Linked DNA regions of Rattus norvegicus. The protein of the gene in region 3 binds, or shares a complex with, the protein of the main gene of each other region. Links are inferred from orthologs where the notes say so. Each region holds a gene or a part of one and is shown on either strand. Other genes may lie near its edges.

Region 1 (4,526 bases), on a different chromosome or scaffold from region 3:
AAAAGAAACTAACCTGGACAGGTGCCTTCCCTAAGGCCATAGGAGCTCAAATTAATGTACCATTAAGGTTGGCGCCCTCTTCTTATGGAATATTAACTCATCAGACAGTGAGAAAACTTCAGTTTCACCAAGAGCTTTAAAACACAAGGTTCAATTGCTTTAGCACCCTATTGTGGCATTTCTGTAGACTCACAGTGTACTTATGTCATCTGAAGACAAACAACAAAAACACAGCTCTCTCAACCTCTTTCCTTTGTAAGTGCAATGCAGTAATGCTGACTAGAGAGGGCACTTAGCAAGCACCAGACACTGTGAACTTTCAAATATTAGGAACTACCATTGATTCTCAAATCAAATCCATAGACCTGGAGCAAAACACAGTTCATACCAGCCTGACTTGCATGGCGCTTCACGTTTCCTTCCTAGCTCTAAAAACACAGCGTCTCAGGGCTGGCTGGCTGACTTACCAGGTAAACTGCCGCAGACTGATGACCTAGGAGCCATGCAGTGGAACAAGAAAGCATAAGATGACCTCCTCTAAGCTACACACACACACACAACAACAACAACAAAACTGAGGTCTCAGGCATCCATACTGGACTTCACGCAAACTAAAATGGAAAACTGTCAATAACCTTATTATAAGGACACATGTCTACAGGTACCACAAAACCAAAACTTAAAACAATAACCATAAGCACTTAACATATTAATCAGATGACAAAATTCTATCACTTCTGAGGCTTTTGAGAAATCTCTTCAGAAGATGCAATGTCAAGATAAGAGATACCAGATGTAGGTGATGAAGACTATAAAAGTCTAATGATTTCCATACATGGTAAGACTGTTACTGCCACAAACCTCCTAGATTAGGACACACTGTGGCAGCGATCCCTCCAGGGCCACGAGAATACAGACTATACCTTGAGGAAATAAGTCTCTCTTTCACTTTGGGTGTTTTAACCAGTGTACACATCAATTTGAAGAGTAATGAATGTGAATAAAAGGGAGAGAAATAAATTATTCTGCTTCGATACCCAGCTATTTTCTTCTAAGAACTCATAGTACCTTTAACAACCAAAAATGGTTTTTACAGTAATTTAACAAATACAATATGTAGTATTTTTTTTTTTTTTGAAACAGAGTCTCACTGTATACTCTAGGCTGGCCTTGAACTCACTGAGATTTCCTGCCTCTGCCTCCCAAGTGCTAGGACTAAAGGCATGCACCACCACCCCAGACATATCTAGCAAATATTTATCAGATACCTAGGATGTGCTGGGTACTGTTCCTGGGAGTTTAGGTCATATGCTAAACAAGCAAGCAAAAATACTATTTCATTTCCAGTTTACTGGCTCTCACTTGGGAGGCAGAGGCAGGAGGATCTCTGAGTTTGAGGCCAGCCTGGTATACACAAGAGAAACCTTGTCTTGGAAAACAAACACAAACCCAAAAAGCAAAAACAAACAAATGAAATGGGCATCCTAAGAATAACTGTATAGAGAGCTAATATTTCTAAATAAAATAGCAAACATATTAATAATAGCTGGTAGCTCTTACTATTGTCAGACAGTAATTTTAAAGAGCTTTACATATCTCATTTACTCAAAAACCCCATTCAGTTAGATGCTATGTTTTACTTTATAGTAGAAACTAGTTTGGTTAAAATAACTTGCAAGATCACATAACTAATAAAAGGTATATATAACTTCTGGCTCTAGAATCTCTCTCTTTTTAAATAGAGTCTCAAGATGTAAAATCTAGCTGGTCTGGAAATCTCTGTGTTGCTGTGTACACCAGGCTGGCCTTGATCTCACAGAGATTCTCCTATTTGTACCTCCCAAGTGCTGAGATTAAAAGTGTTCACTACTGTTAATCTCTTAATTTTTACTGTATTTACTAGATTAATAAATTCTTCATAATGTTTTTAATGGCAGAAAAATATTTTGTCATGCTTGGTACAGAACACACTGTTATCTCTAATCTACAGGTAGACATTCTCATCTACAGCTCAAACGAGTTTGCGCCTCTTATTTAAGTTCATTCACTCAACTGATCACGTGAGAAAACACGGACCCTCTTCAATCTTTCTTCCTACTCATATCCACCAATCTCATAAATCTCTGCCTCGGAACCACCTGTTAGATTTAATGCTCACTCTCCAGATTCCCATGCTTACCTAGTCAACTGTCACGGAAGCTCCTAACACAGTCTCTTATAGCCATTCTCACATCCTCTATCCAGCTATCCGCCGCCTTGCTTCTAAAATGAAATCCACATTACTCAGCTGCTTATGTTCCTTACTGATTTACCCTATTACGTCAAAAATCTTAATGTGAGACATTCAGGTTCCTCTTTAAGTGGCTGTTTTACTCCCCTCACCTCCCACCACTGTCTTACCTATAAGCTTTACAACTATTTTTAAATTTTCATTGCCTACCAACCAAATTCCTACATCCCCAACCCCAAACTAAGTTTCTTTTTTTTTTATATATAAAAAAGTCGTCTTAACGAAACACAGGACCGTAGATTTAAGAACGCCCTATGCTGCTGGGAGAGGAGGAGAACTAAGAATTTGGGGGCTAGGACGTGGGAGGCTCGCTAGGAGACGACATCCTAATGTCGATCCCATTGCACGCCCCCAGTCACAAGAGGCTGCAGATCCTGGGCGCCCGGGGCTGGACAGCAGCAGGGGGCGTGCCCGAGTTGGAAGCCGGGAGCCCGGGATTGCGTTTGGGATCCCGCACCCTGCGGAGTTCTACCGGTCTGGTCCCGCCCCCGCCTCACCGGTCCCCGCGGTTCCCAGCAGCCGCTCCGGCACCCCTTGTAGATCTTCAAGGAGGCCGCGGAAGATCTCGTGCAGCTTCTCGAAATGCTCGGAGGAGGCGGCGGAAGTGGCCATAGTGCAGGTTGCTCGTGAGCTGCGGCCACTGAGACTCCGGGCGCTGGGCCCACTCCCACCTCAGGAATCAGCTACCCGGCCCCAAAGCCATCACCGCTGCCGCACCTCGGCCTCCCGGAATCAGGCGTTTCCGGGGTCCTCCGAGCCGGACGCCCTCCCCCCTGTTGTCACTGTGCGAGCGCCAAAGCCTGACAGAAAGCCAGGCGAGGACGACACCCGGCTACTATAGGGGCGCGGCCTGGCGCCAAGGCGAGCTGCTGTCTCCAACCTGGAGACAGGCAGTGGGCACAGGGGAGGTACCAAAGCGAAGAGCCCAAGGGAGCCCGCGGGACGGGCGCCTCGGACGCCTCATTCGGGCCCGCCGGTCCTGCAGTGCATGCTGGGGGTTGTAGTTAAGTGAGGAAGGGCGGCTGTGCAGGGAGGGCCTGGAGTGCCAGCCCTGTTGCGCAGCGACTGGATAGCACAAGTGCCTAGCTGTCATTGCACTTCATTCTGCCACCTGACTTCAGTTCAGTCTCAGCCCTAGATAGATAGAAGAGCAGAGGCTTGCCCTGCTCTTCTCGGATGGTAAAGCTCTATAACTGGGGAGATTAAGTGGCCAGGGTCACATGCTTTCAGAACAGGAAAATGAGCACTGTGCTCCCAGAATACACAAAGCTTTTAGGGGCTGAGCCAGTCCAGTCCATTAGGCTGCGCCGGGTTCTCATTCACAACAGGTTAAGAATAGCCATTTTGATAAGTTAAATATTGATCAAAATATCTTTGCCTTTGCCCTTGAGTAATGTATGATTTGGTGTGGAAAACAGACCCGTCTTACCATGTCTCTCTCTCTCTCTCTTTTTTTTTTTGGTTCTTTTTTTTTTCCGGAGCTGGGGACGGAACTCAGGGCCTTGCGCTTCCTAGGTAAGCGCTCTACCACTGAGCTAAATCCCCAGCCCCGTCTTAGCATGTCTTATCTGCCCTTACATAAAACATATTAACAATTATGAAGTCTTCTCTGTTCTTTCATAGGTATAAATTCCTATGTATACTGTTGGCAGGGTTTACACAAAGAGCCTACTCTCAAAAGTTTGCGTGGGAGCTCAGTATTTATACATGGAAATACACACACACACACACACACACACACACACACACACACACACATATGGCTGAGGATGTAGCTGAGGGTACACTTATCTAACATAAGCAAATCCTGTAATCCATCTTCCAAGGTATATGGTAAAGTGGGTTACTGGTGATTTTTGTCTTTGAGGCCCTAGGTTTACAAGCTTGAATCCATTGACCATTAAATTCAATGAAAAAAATTGTAAAATGCATTGTGCAAAGATAAAGTCTGATGTTGTTAGCAGTGGTGCAAACTCTTATATTTTTCTCATAAAATTCAAAGATAGGCCAAGAGTGGTGTTGCTTGATTTTAATCCCAGCACTTGGAAGGCAGAGAGAGGCAGATGGATCACTGAGTTCAAGGCCAGCCTGGTCTACAAAGCACTTTCAGGACAGCCAGGGCCACACAGAGAAACCCTACCTCAAAAGCAAAATATAAAATTAACAGGGCCAAGTGCTCTGCCTGTGGAGCCCAGAAGAGGGCGTCGGATCTTCTGGAGCTGGAGTTGAAGAAGAG
Region 2 (4,457 bases), about 180 Mb from region 3:
GCACATCAGTGCGAAGGGCTGTTAGCAGGAAAAGGAGCCTTAAGTCAAAGAACTGGACTTCGTGGGGATAGCTCCTTTTGCGGTACAGTCCCACACGTTCCGCTAGCCTCACCACCAGTCGAGCCTCTGCTGCTAGCATCTGTGCTGTAGGACTGCTGAGCACAAGATTACACAGGCATTTGAGAGACTCGAGGAGGACATCCATGTCTGGGGGCTGTGGGATGGGCTCCTCTGAGATGGCAATGTCGGCATAGCAGGCTAGTGCGTGTAAACTCTGGCGGCTAGCAAATGAGTCCAGGCAGCTGCGGTCTCGGGATAGGATTCGGATAGTCTGCAGCCAGGTGACACGGTGTTTTGGTGACAAGCCCTGCTCCAGTACGGAGACCAGCAGCTTTGCGAGTCTCTGTGGGAAGGGACAAAAATGGTTCCACTAGGCCCTCTTCTTGGGGCAGCCCGTGCTTGCCCTAGGAACCCCCTTGGGCTGACACCTACCTTCCTGTCCTCCTGCTGTGCATCATCGAAGGTGAAGCTCTGGGAATGCTGCAGGGAGACCCAGGAAGCTCAGTTCCACACGCAGGTAGGACCTGTGCTCCTCGAGAAGCAGCAGGTCTGCTTCTACCTCTGAAGCAGCAGCCATCGCTGTGTACGTAAAGCAAGGCCCACCCTCGCCACCCATACACCTGACTACCACAGAGGCACCGCCGTGGCCCAGCCCACCACCCACCGCCCTGCTCCCTGCCACACTCGCACGCACACCCCAGCCGAGTGGCGAGCAACCGGCTGCTTCCTCACTTCCTGCAATTTCCTCGGCAGCTGGATGCCTCTCACCTCTCGGTTAAACGACCGCAGAGCTTCTGTCACCGCATCTTCCTCTCCCGTCTCCAAGGCATCCGCAACTGCCCGGGGCTCCATGGCCCCTGGCACGGGGTGCTAGAAGACTTGGGCTGGGAAGACGCAATCGGCCAAACCCGGGGACTCCGCCCAGGTCCGGAAGCCCAGCGTCCACGCGTGAGGAATGCTGGGAGAACAGCCGAGCCTAGGGTGTGTACAGGCGCGGGGCTGGCCTCCGGCTTAAGGTGGAGCAACCCGGCTGTGGCCGCTGAGCGGCTTGTCTTGGAGCAGCGATGCTAGCTAACTAAGCAGTATCCTCCTTTTGAGCCCTTCTCTCTAGCCCGACTTCCTGGCGGGCGGGGGTGGGGAGTGGGGTGTGGCTTGGCCGGCGCGTAAACCTTTCTCCTTACACTCTTGTTCCCGTACTGTGATAAAAGAGGGAGCGCCGGCTCCTGGCCGCTTAGTCAGTTGGGGAAGACGATTCTCGCGGTCATCTTCCTGATGCTCATCTTCCACGGGAAATAAGGAAAGAGAAGTACGACTTGGATGGTCAAAATAATGTACGTGGTTAGCCGGGCATAGTAACGCACGCTTTTTTAAATTTCAGCACTCGAGAGGCAGAAACGGGCAGACCTATCTAAAAACAATCAAAAAACCAAACCACCAAAATAATGTGGTTATCAAAAGAAAAGGGCAATTGCAGAGTGTATGAGGAAGGATCGGAGAGAAGGAAGTGAAGAACACCGGTGGAAAAGCGACTCCCGCGGGAGGAGCAACGGAGGGGCGGCTAGCCGCGGCGTGTCTGGGGTTAGAAGCGTAGGAACGTTGTATAGTGGGGAGCCAGGTCTGCATGCCACTTAGCTTAAGGCAGAGTCGGTGCACCCCACGGTGACACAAGCAATGTTCCAGAGGATAATGCCGCCCGCTGTGCTAACCGGCGCTTGCCTCTACTCAGTGTCAGGTCCTTTGCCAGTCTCTTTCGCTTCTGCTCGTCCTCCCCATCCTGTCGTTCTCACTTGGGGACTTTGCAGCGCCCGAGGTACCCGACCCTCGGCTCCAGGTTGGGGTCTGAGCTCCTGCTCCGGGTAATACCCACAGCGCGGGACTAATACTGCTGACCAATCCGTAGGCCCGAATGCTGGCGGCCCGCCCTTCCCTTATTTACATTCCAGTGTAGAACTACAAGTCTGTTTCTTCCGCTTCAGACTCTTCTCCCGGAAGTTATTAGACCTGAGGCGGAACCGGAAGACCCAGGTAGTGGTGCCACGTCCGTCGCTGTGTTGCCTACTCCCCGAGTGGGACCTCGGAAGGCGCGATGGCAGATTGGACTCGAGGTGAGCGCACCTGAAGGTAGTTGGGATAGGAGGCAAGGTCTAAGTCTGGAGTACGAGCCATCAATTTTTCCTCGGTGGAGGGATCTGCGTGGGATGGCGCTTACGTATTCCAGGAAAAACAGGGCCAGATTTCAACTGGCACTGCCTTGGAACCCAAGCCGGCATGACATCAGTTTGTGTGTATGGTTGATGCCAAGGGCTGGAAGCAGAAGGTCCAAGCAGGGACTTACAGGGCTCAAGTGCCTCGTTTCACACACACCCTCCGCCCCCGTGCCTGTGTTCAGTCTGACAGTTGTGATACTGAGGCTTCTACTATACTAACTATGTAGTGGTTGGTAGGACACAGCCGTCTGTCTTTTAGAGTCTGGTCGCCCCTGTTTGCTGGTGCTGCTGGCTTTCCCCTTAGGTGGGTCATATCGAGGCTGGATTTTTATGCTTCAGACCAGTGCCAGTCACACTTAGGCAGGTGATTCTCAACTACATACCGTGACAGAAATTCTTCATGTCTAGTCTCTGTCCGTCGGAGTAAGGTTTCCACAGGAGAGTGCTCTGGGGCTTCTAGAGATCCTGTGTGGGTTGTAGCAGTAGGGATTGGTAGTTTCTACAGTAAAAGGCCTTTCTTACACTTACCTTGGACTTGATTCCTAAGTCATCCCCACACAGCCTTCCTGTCACCTGCTTTGTTGTTCTGTTCTGTTTTCCCTATAATCCCTACCAGATTGAGACCTGTCCCATACTCTCAGATGGTGATTTCAGCTAAGGCAATATTCATTTTGGTCCAGGAACAGTATACAACAGGGTAGTGTAGATTGACCTGCTGGTTCCCTGTCTCTGCCTGGGCATTGCACACAAGTACTCCCATGACCCATGCTTCCTGTCTGGTGTGTAGGTGGTCTACCTGTTGGAACATAGGGTGGAACATGCTAAGTGAGCAGAAGGATATGGGTGGAATGCCCTTAGAGGTCTCACCAGGCCAGGCTCCACTGGAGCAAGGAGCCAAGGACCACATTTATGAGTGAATTCTACCCTTCAGCCTCTTTGTCTTGCAGCTCAGAGTTCTGGTGCTGTGGAGGAGATTCTAGACAGAGAGAACAAGCGGATGGCTGACAGCCTGGCCTCTAAGGTCACCAGGCTTAAATCGGTTAGTGGTGGCCCTTTTCCCTTCCATGAGACACTTTGGTGAGTGGGGCTGAGTGGGTAGAAAGGAAGCCATGCTGTCCGTGGGTGTGCTGACTGAGGAATGCTTCAGGTAATACCTTGGCCTTTTTAGCTTTTTCTAGTAATAGGTACCTAGCAGAATCTGAAGGGAAGATGGGCACTGCACTCTGTGTCCTTGCTTGACTGTGCCTTCTGTATCCCAACCAGCTGGCTTTGGACATCGACAGGGACACGGAAGACCAGAACCGATACCTAGATGGCATGGTAAGTGCCTGTATTACGTACAAATCATAGTCAGCTCTACCCCCATGCCGCCTGCTCTTCTGCCTCTAACCCTTCAGCGCTAGTACAGTTGGGCCGTCACAGATCCCAGCTCTATGTGATCCCGTTGGGTCTCTCCCGCAGGACTCAGATTTCACAAGTGTGACTGGCCTACTCACAGGGAGTGTGAAGCGCTTTTCCACGGTGGCACGGTCTGGGCGAGACAACCGGAAGCTTCTGTGTGGTATGGCTGTGGTCTTAATTGTGGCCTTCTTCATCCTCTCCTACCTCTTGTCGAGGACAAGGACGTGAGCCAGTGGGAGCCAAGGGCAGCCAGACTCTTGTCCACCTGGTATCCTGGCTTCCTAAGGACCTGACTACAGAAACAATATTCCTTTGAAATTATCATCACGGGTCATTCGTCTTCCTAAGTCAGGACGACTGCGGCTGCCTCTGTCGTAACGAGCTCCTCTTGGCTTGTCCTGTGTATGAAGGAAGAAGAAAAAGGCAAAACCCAGTGCTACTCCCTGGTGCTAAAGACACTGGCAGAGTCAGAGCCATGTTGTATGAGAATGAGCCAGTTCTATTGAGAGCATCTGAGAGTGCTGAATGCGCCTACCGTGGCCAGTGGCCACACTCCTCAAGGGCCTTCTGTTGTGCTCTAACCTGTTTATGTCTGGTTTAAACCATGTCCGTGTTCTTGAAGAGTCTGAAGCTGACACCAGAAGGGAATGTGGCCGTGAGCCCTCTCCAAATGATGGTCGTCGGGATGGGGTTGACAGTGACACCAGGCTGAGACTGCTGGTCAGGAATGGACCTGTGCAGTCTGGCTCAATTCAGACCCCAGGGAAGAGGCAAACTGTGGATAGAGGA
Region 3 (4,616 bases):
GTGTTTCAGGTTCCTGAATCTGTATTATGAGGAAACAACTAGACTTTCTAAAAAGACTCTGTAGCTTTAACAGCTAACATGACTTTTTATTGCAGAGGTTTTTGCCTTGTGATTTTTAAAAATATAACAAGTTTGACAAAAGGATTGATTTCAAAGAAAAACCTGAATTTCCTCTGTATCTTAGGAAACATATAATGTCACTATGATGGGCTAATATTTCTATAAGTTCACAGTGGAGACGACAGGTAGAACTCAGGGGTGGATCAACTACCTGAAATGTGAGGCCTTGGGTTTGATCCCTAGTACCTCCAAACAGAACCACAAACAACCTGGGACAGGCCTGTACTCTGAACGATGAGGAAAGAGGGTTGCAAGTTCAAGGCCTACCTGGGCTACACAGTGAGTTCAAGGTTAGTCTGGGCAACCTATAGAGACTTTGTTTCAAAACCAAAAACCTCTGGTGATACAGGACACAGGGAAGGCATGGGCTTCTCATGGTCAATGACCTTGGTTCAGTTTCCAGTGCCGGAAAAAAGCAGCAAAACCCTACAGTTCACAATGGCTCTAGCTGTATCACATCACACTTTAAATGGACGCACATCCTTTGACCAGTGTGCTTAGTCCACTGTGGATCCTACTTGGAAGATGCGGTGTTTGAGTCAGACTTAAATCACCGATGTATGCTTGCATGTGTAAAACCAACCAACGTACAGTTTGCTCTGCGGTTCTGACTCACAATAGTCTGGAACTACCACCACTACCACCCCACCCCCACCCCCTACCCCCACCCCCAGCCTCCACCTGAATTCGACTGCACTTTTGGTATCATGCGTTTTCATATTCTTTCCAGAAATAACACTGTCTTAATTACAGGCAAAGGCCAAGGCAAGATCGTCTAATTAATTTGGAAAAGTATTTCTTTTACCTGAACCACTGATGTTTCTCATCTGAGAGTCACATGTTTAAAGAGTTATTGTTGGAACAGTCTGTGCTCTTAAAGCCTGGGAAAACCGCATCCTGTATTTCAAGGACGAAAGACCCATCATGAGCCAAGAAACACCCTTACCAAGTGGGCATCGGGAGGTGAGTCTTCATTTATTCTTTGCGTGGGCTTAGCTAGGATTGCCTTGACATTTTTGCAGTGACATTTTAAAATGGAGTTGTCAAGTCTGCCACAGAGCTGAGGGTTAGGAAACAGGACCTTCAGGAGCTGAGGGTGCACCCTCAATCCAGGAAGGATGGCGCCACCGAATAAAGAACGCAGCTCTCCTCTATTGGATTTCTTCCTCTTTTCTTGCATGTAGACATCACTTTGTCACCCATCAAAGCTTGGTTCCCTAGGAATTTTGCCAGTCCCTCCAAGCTTCAGCTGTCACTGGCCAATGGGAGAGACGCGAGCCCCGCCTCCTTCTTCCTGGGGCTTTGGCCCTGCGCATGCGCATTGGGAGTGCTTGCGCCACCGCCCATTCGCTGAGACTGGCTGCGCAGGGCCGTGGGCCCTCGGTGACAGCAGCTGGAGGTGACAGAGGAAGCCAACGAGGTCAGGGTAAGAGGAGACTGCAGAGGCGGGGGCGCGGAAGGGACACTCCAGAACCACTGCTCGCCGGTGGTTGGTTTGGGGTGCGCAGAGCGGGGCTCCCTAGGGCGCAGGGCCAGCGCCTTCCTCTCGGGCTCCCACGCCCCGAGGCGGACTCGGGAACGAGCACCCAAGCGCGCGGCAATGGAGCCTCGGGGACCTGACCTGCCGCCAGATCCTGGCAGGCAACAACCGTGTTTTCATTTTCTGTCAACTTCCCCTCCAGAAAGACAGAAAGGGAAACGCGATGGGCCCTGGTCATCCGGCCACAGGTTCGTTCTGTGGCCCAGAGCATTTGCTTGCTTGGCTGTTGGCCCTACTCACACAAGCTAACTTTCTCTGACCTACCTTGTGCACGTCTTTAATTGATTTACCCACCAAGACCCTTAACAAAGTATTTTGAGAATTCCCATATGTGTTTTGTAGGTTAAATTCAGACAAAAGAGAGAGGGGGAGAGGGAGAGGGAGGGGGAGGAGAAAAGAAGAAAGAATGAGAGAGAAAAAATGTTGGGAGAGGATGCTTTATAGTCAAATGGTAATTTTTTCCTTATAGTTTTTAAAAATTATGCTTGAATTTTATATGCATATATTATTTTTGGTTGCTTTAGATCTCGTATTCTGTTAGGAATTATTATTTACAAGTTTTCCACAATCAGGAAAAAAAAGGAAGTAACTGTGGAACACTGGTTTGGTCCGGTTGAAGGTAGGCATTCCTTTAGGTGTACCTGAGCTGTGCTGTGCAGAGATTGATAAAACTGTTAAATTGTATCGAGGTGGGGATGGGCCTTCGGATTTGCAAGCTGCTTTGGAAGTTGGCCCTGGGCTTGTGACTTGCTAAGAATAAGGCTGTAGTTTCCCAGCGTCTGGGGAAGTTAATATAACACAGTATTAACTCATTGACCTCTGGGTGCTTTCCCTTCAGCGAGCTCACTTTTTATGCTGCTCCCGATTAGCAGTCATTTCTAATTCTGATTAGGATCCCAAATGCATCCATATGGTGCTGGTGGAAAATTTTGAATAATGTTGAACTATATGCCACTAAATGGTGTGTGCACAAAACCCTGGTTCAGTCCCCAGTACTGCAAGGTAATATTTCTGCAGTGTCTGATAGTCCTACTAGGTAAAACTCCCACCCTTTAGTCTGAGTGAATTTTGCTCTGGTTCAGTGTAACTCGAAATATTAATGTGTGAAACTGGAGAAAAAGAATGCTTGGTGAATTAACTGAAAGCAGACAGTGTAGCACAATGGTTGGATCCATGAAGGAGCTGGGTGAAGACGCACTTGAGTAGTTCGTGGATGAATCCTCATCTGAGAGTTGGAGCACCCTCGTGTTCATTGATTGGGTCCTATGACTCCTCTCCTGCTTGTGTCAGGACTTGAGAACAAAGTGTGAGTGGTCCAACCTCCTGAGGATGATGCATGGCTCGAAGTAGAAGTTACACTGACAGAGCCGTAGTGGAGACTGCTCATTTCAGATCCGGCGTCTCTGGTGTGTGATAACACCTTGCAGGGAGAAAGAACTAGGTGGGCGGGTGTCATGGGAAGGGTCATCTAGAGACAGAAAAGGGACACCAGAAAAGCCCAGGTGGCAATAAACCTGAAACAGTGTTTTAGAAATGTTAATATTTACTCTCAGGCTGGGCATGTGTTCTTGGGATATGGGTACACTTGTTGATTCACACTTCAGACACTTATTCAAGACCAAGTACTAGGGACTAGACTTTGTCCAAGATTTATACTCCCCGTACAGCACTCACCACACACACACACACAAATACAAACCCAGGGGAGTAAAGGGGGAGGAAGCTCATAGTTTTATGCTGGTACTCATGATTTAAAAAGCGAAACTGGCCATTCGATTTCAACAGGCTACATTTCAGGCCAGTTCTCTGCTCAGCGGAAGCCTTTAAGAGTCTACGATGGTATGTCCAGGAGTAACTCCGGGGTAGTGTTTTACATTCAAGAATCTATAACGAAATCCCCTTCGCTTGTTTTTAGATTGTACTTTCGACACGATCTTGAGACAGCCCTTACCGTGGGTGTTACAGTTTGGCCCCCGCCTCTCCTCTTTCACCTCAGTGTTTGTATATCTTCATAAAAAGATAATTACTGAGAAGTTGAGTTGAACGCTGGCCAATTGAGCTTTCTGCGGGGAGAGAAGTGAATATGTGAGCTGTTCCAGCCACTGGCTACTGGCCCCATCTAGTTTCCAAGCACTTGAAAGGTAGCCTGGGTGGCTTTCATCTACCTTAATTCACTTTAACAGTGCCTGTCAGTAGCAGCTGGTCTGCAGGAAGTGCAGGTGCGCGGTGAAGAGCTACATAATTATTTTGAGCGAAAGGAATTCCAAATAGGTTTTCAACACAGAATAATTTTGGGCATTGCAGCTCAGGCTACGTCCTGCAGATGGTTATAGAGCACAGGCACTTTACAAACACAGAATCAATCAGCTCACTTGGAAAAATAGACCTCAGAGTCATCTATCGATAATTATTCATGAATTTATATGTTTATTTTTTTTTCCAGCAAAGTTAGCCATTGTCCCACTTAACTTGTCTTACATCTAAAGAGCCAACTTGTCTCTTTTAAAATGTCACCATAGCCGAACAGGACAGAAAGGGAGAGTACTGCTCAGTGGTGTTACCACCGTCCAAGTTTGTTTCCTTGTTGTAAAGAAACTACCCCCGGGCCGCAGAAACGTGTCAAGCGTGGTCGTGTAGTTGACCTGGTCCACCTGTGCTAAGTTGTTCTACAGAAAGCACTAGGGTTTAGTCTAGCGTTTGCGACAATATGAGCTCCCAGATTTACTGTGAGAGTTTAAGTCTTTTGCTCATCTCAGCGATGCCTCTGTTTCTTTGTAAAAAAAAAAAAAAAAAAACCAAACCAAAACAAAAACTACAAGAGTAGTTATGCCTACTACAGAGGCTTTCGAGATTGAGAGAAACAATCATAAAAGGCACCATGTGCAGGAAATAATTCAGCCCTTTCTCCGATTCCTGATCCCTCATCACTCAAGACAGGACCGTGGTGGTCATCTCC

Evidence for each region. The genes of interacting proteins can lie anywhere in the genome.
Region 1: Stx7 (region 3) and Vti1b share a complex: the UniProt entries of both Homo sapiens proteins name them as parts of the SNARE complex. The link is inferred for Rattus norvegicus from reciprocal best matches to the Homo sapiens genes STX7 and VTI1B.
Region 2: Stx7 (region 3) and Bet1l share a complex: the UniProt entries of both Homo sapiens proteins name them as parts of the SNARE complex. The link is inferred for Rattus norvegicus from reciprocal best matches to the Homo sapiens genes STX7 and BET1L.

The regions. Positions count from the first base shown.
Region 1 is NC_086024.1:103,706,263-103,710,788, forward strand, and holds the start of Vti1b (vesicle transport through interaction with t-SNAREs homolog 1B), read right to left. Parts: upstream 3,226-4,526; 5' UTR 2,903-3,225; coding exon 2,788-2,902; intron 2,263-2,787; exon of another isoform or gene 2,180-2,262; intron 1-2,179. UniProt on the Homo sapiens protein: V-SNARE that mediates vesicle transport pathways through interactions with t-SNAREs on the target membrane. These interactions are proposed to mediate aspects of the specificity of vesicle trafficking and to promote fusion of the lipid bilayers.
Region 2 is NC_086019.1:205,361,482-205,365,938, reverse strand, and holds the start of Bet1l (BET1-like protein), read left to right. Parts: upstream 1-1,232; 5' UTR 1,233-1,391; intron 1,392-2,036; 5' UTR 2,037-2,146; coding exon 2,147-2,165; intron 2,166-3,214; coding exon 3,215-3,306; intron 3,307-3,530; coding exon 3,531-3,587; intron 3,588-3,728; coding exon 3,729-3,896; 3' UTR 3,897-4,457. Other genes in the region: Ric8a (synembryn-A), read right to left, coding at 1-403, 493-540, 829-912. UniProt on the Homo sapiens protein: Vesicle SNARE required for targeting and fusion of retrograde transport vesicles with the Golgi complex. Required for the integrity of the Golgi complex.
Region 3 is NC_086019.1:23,053,359-23,057,974, reverse strand, and holds the start of Stx7 (syntaxin-7), read left to right. Parts: upstream 1-1,509; 5' UTR 1,510-1,540; exon of another isoform or gene 1,541-1,546; intron 1,547-1,802; exon of another isoform or gene 1,803-1,848; intron 1,849-4,616. UniProt on the Homo sapiens protein: May be involved in protein trafficking from the plasma membrane to the early endosome (EE) as well as in homotypic fusion of endocytic organelles. Mediates the endocytic trafficking from early endosomes to late endosomes and lysosomes.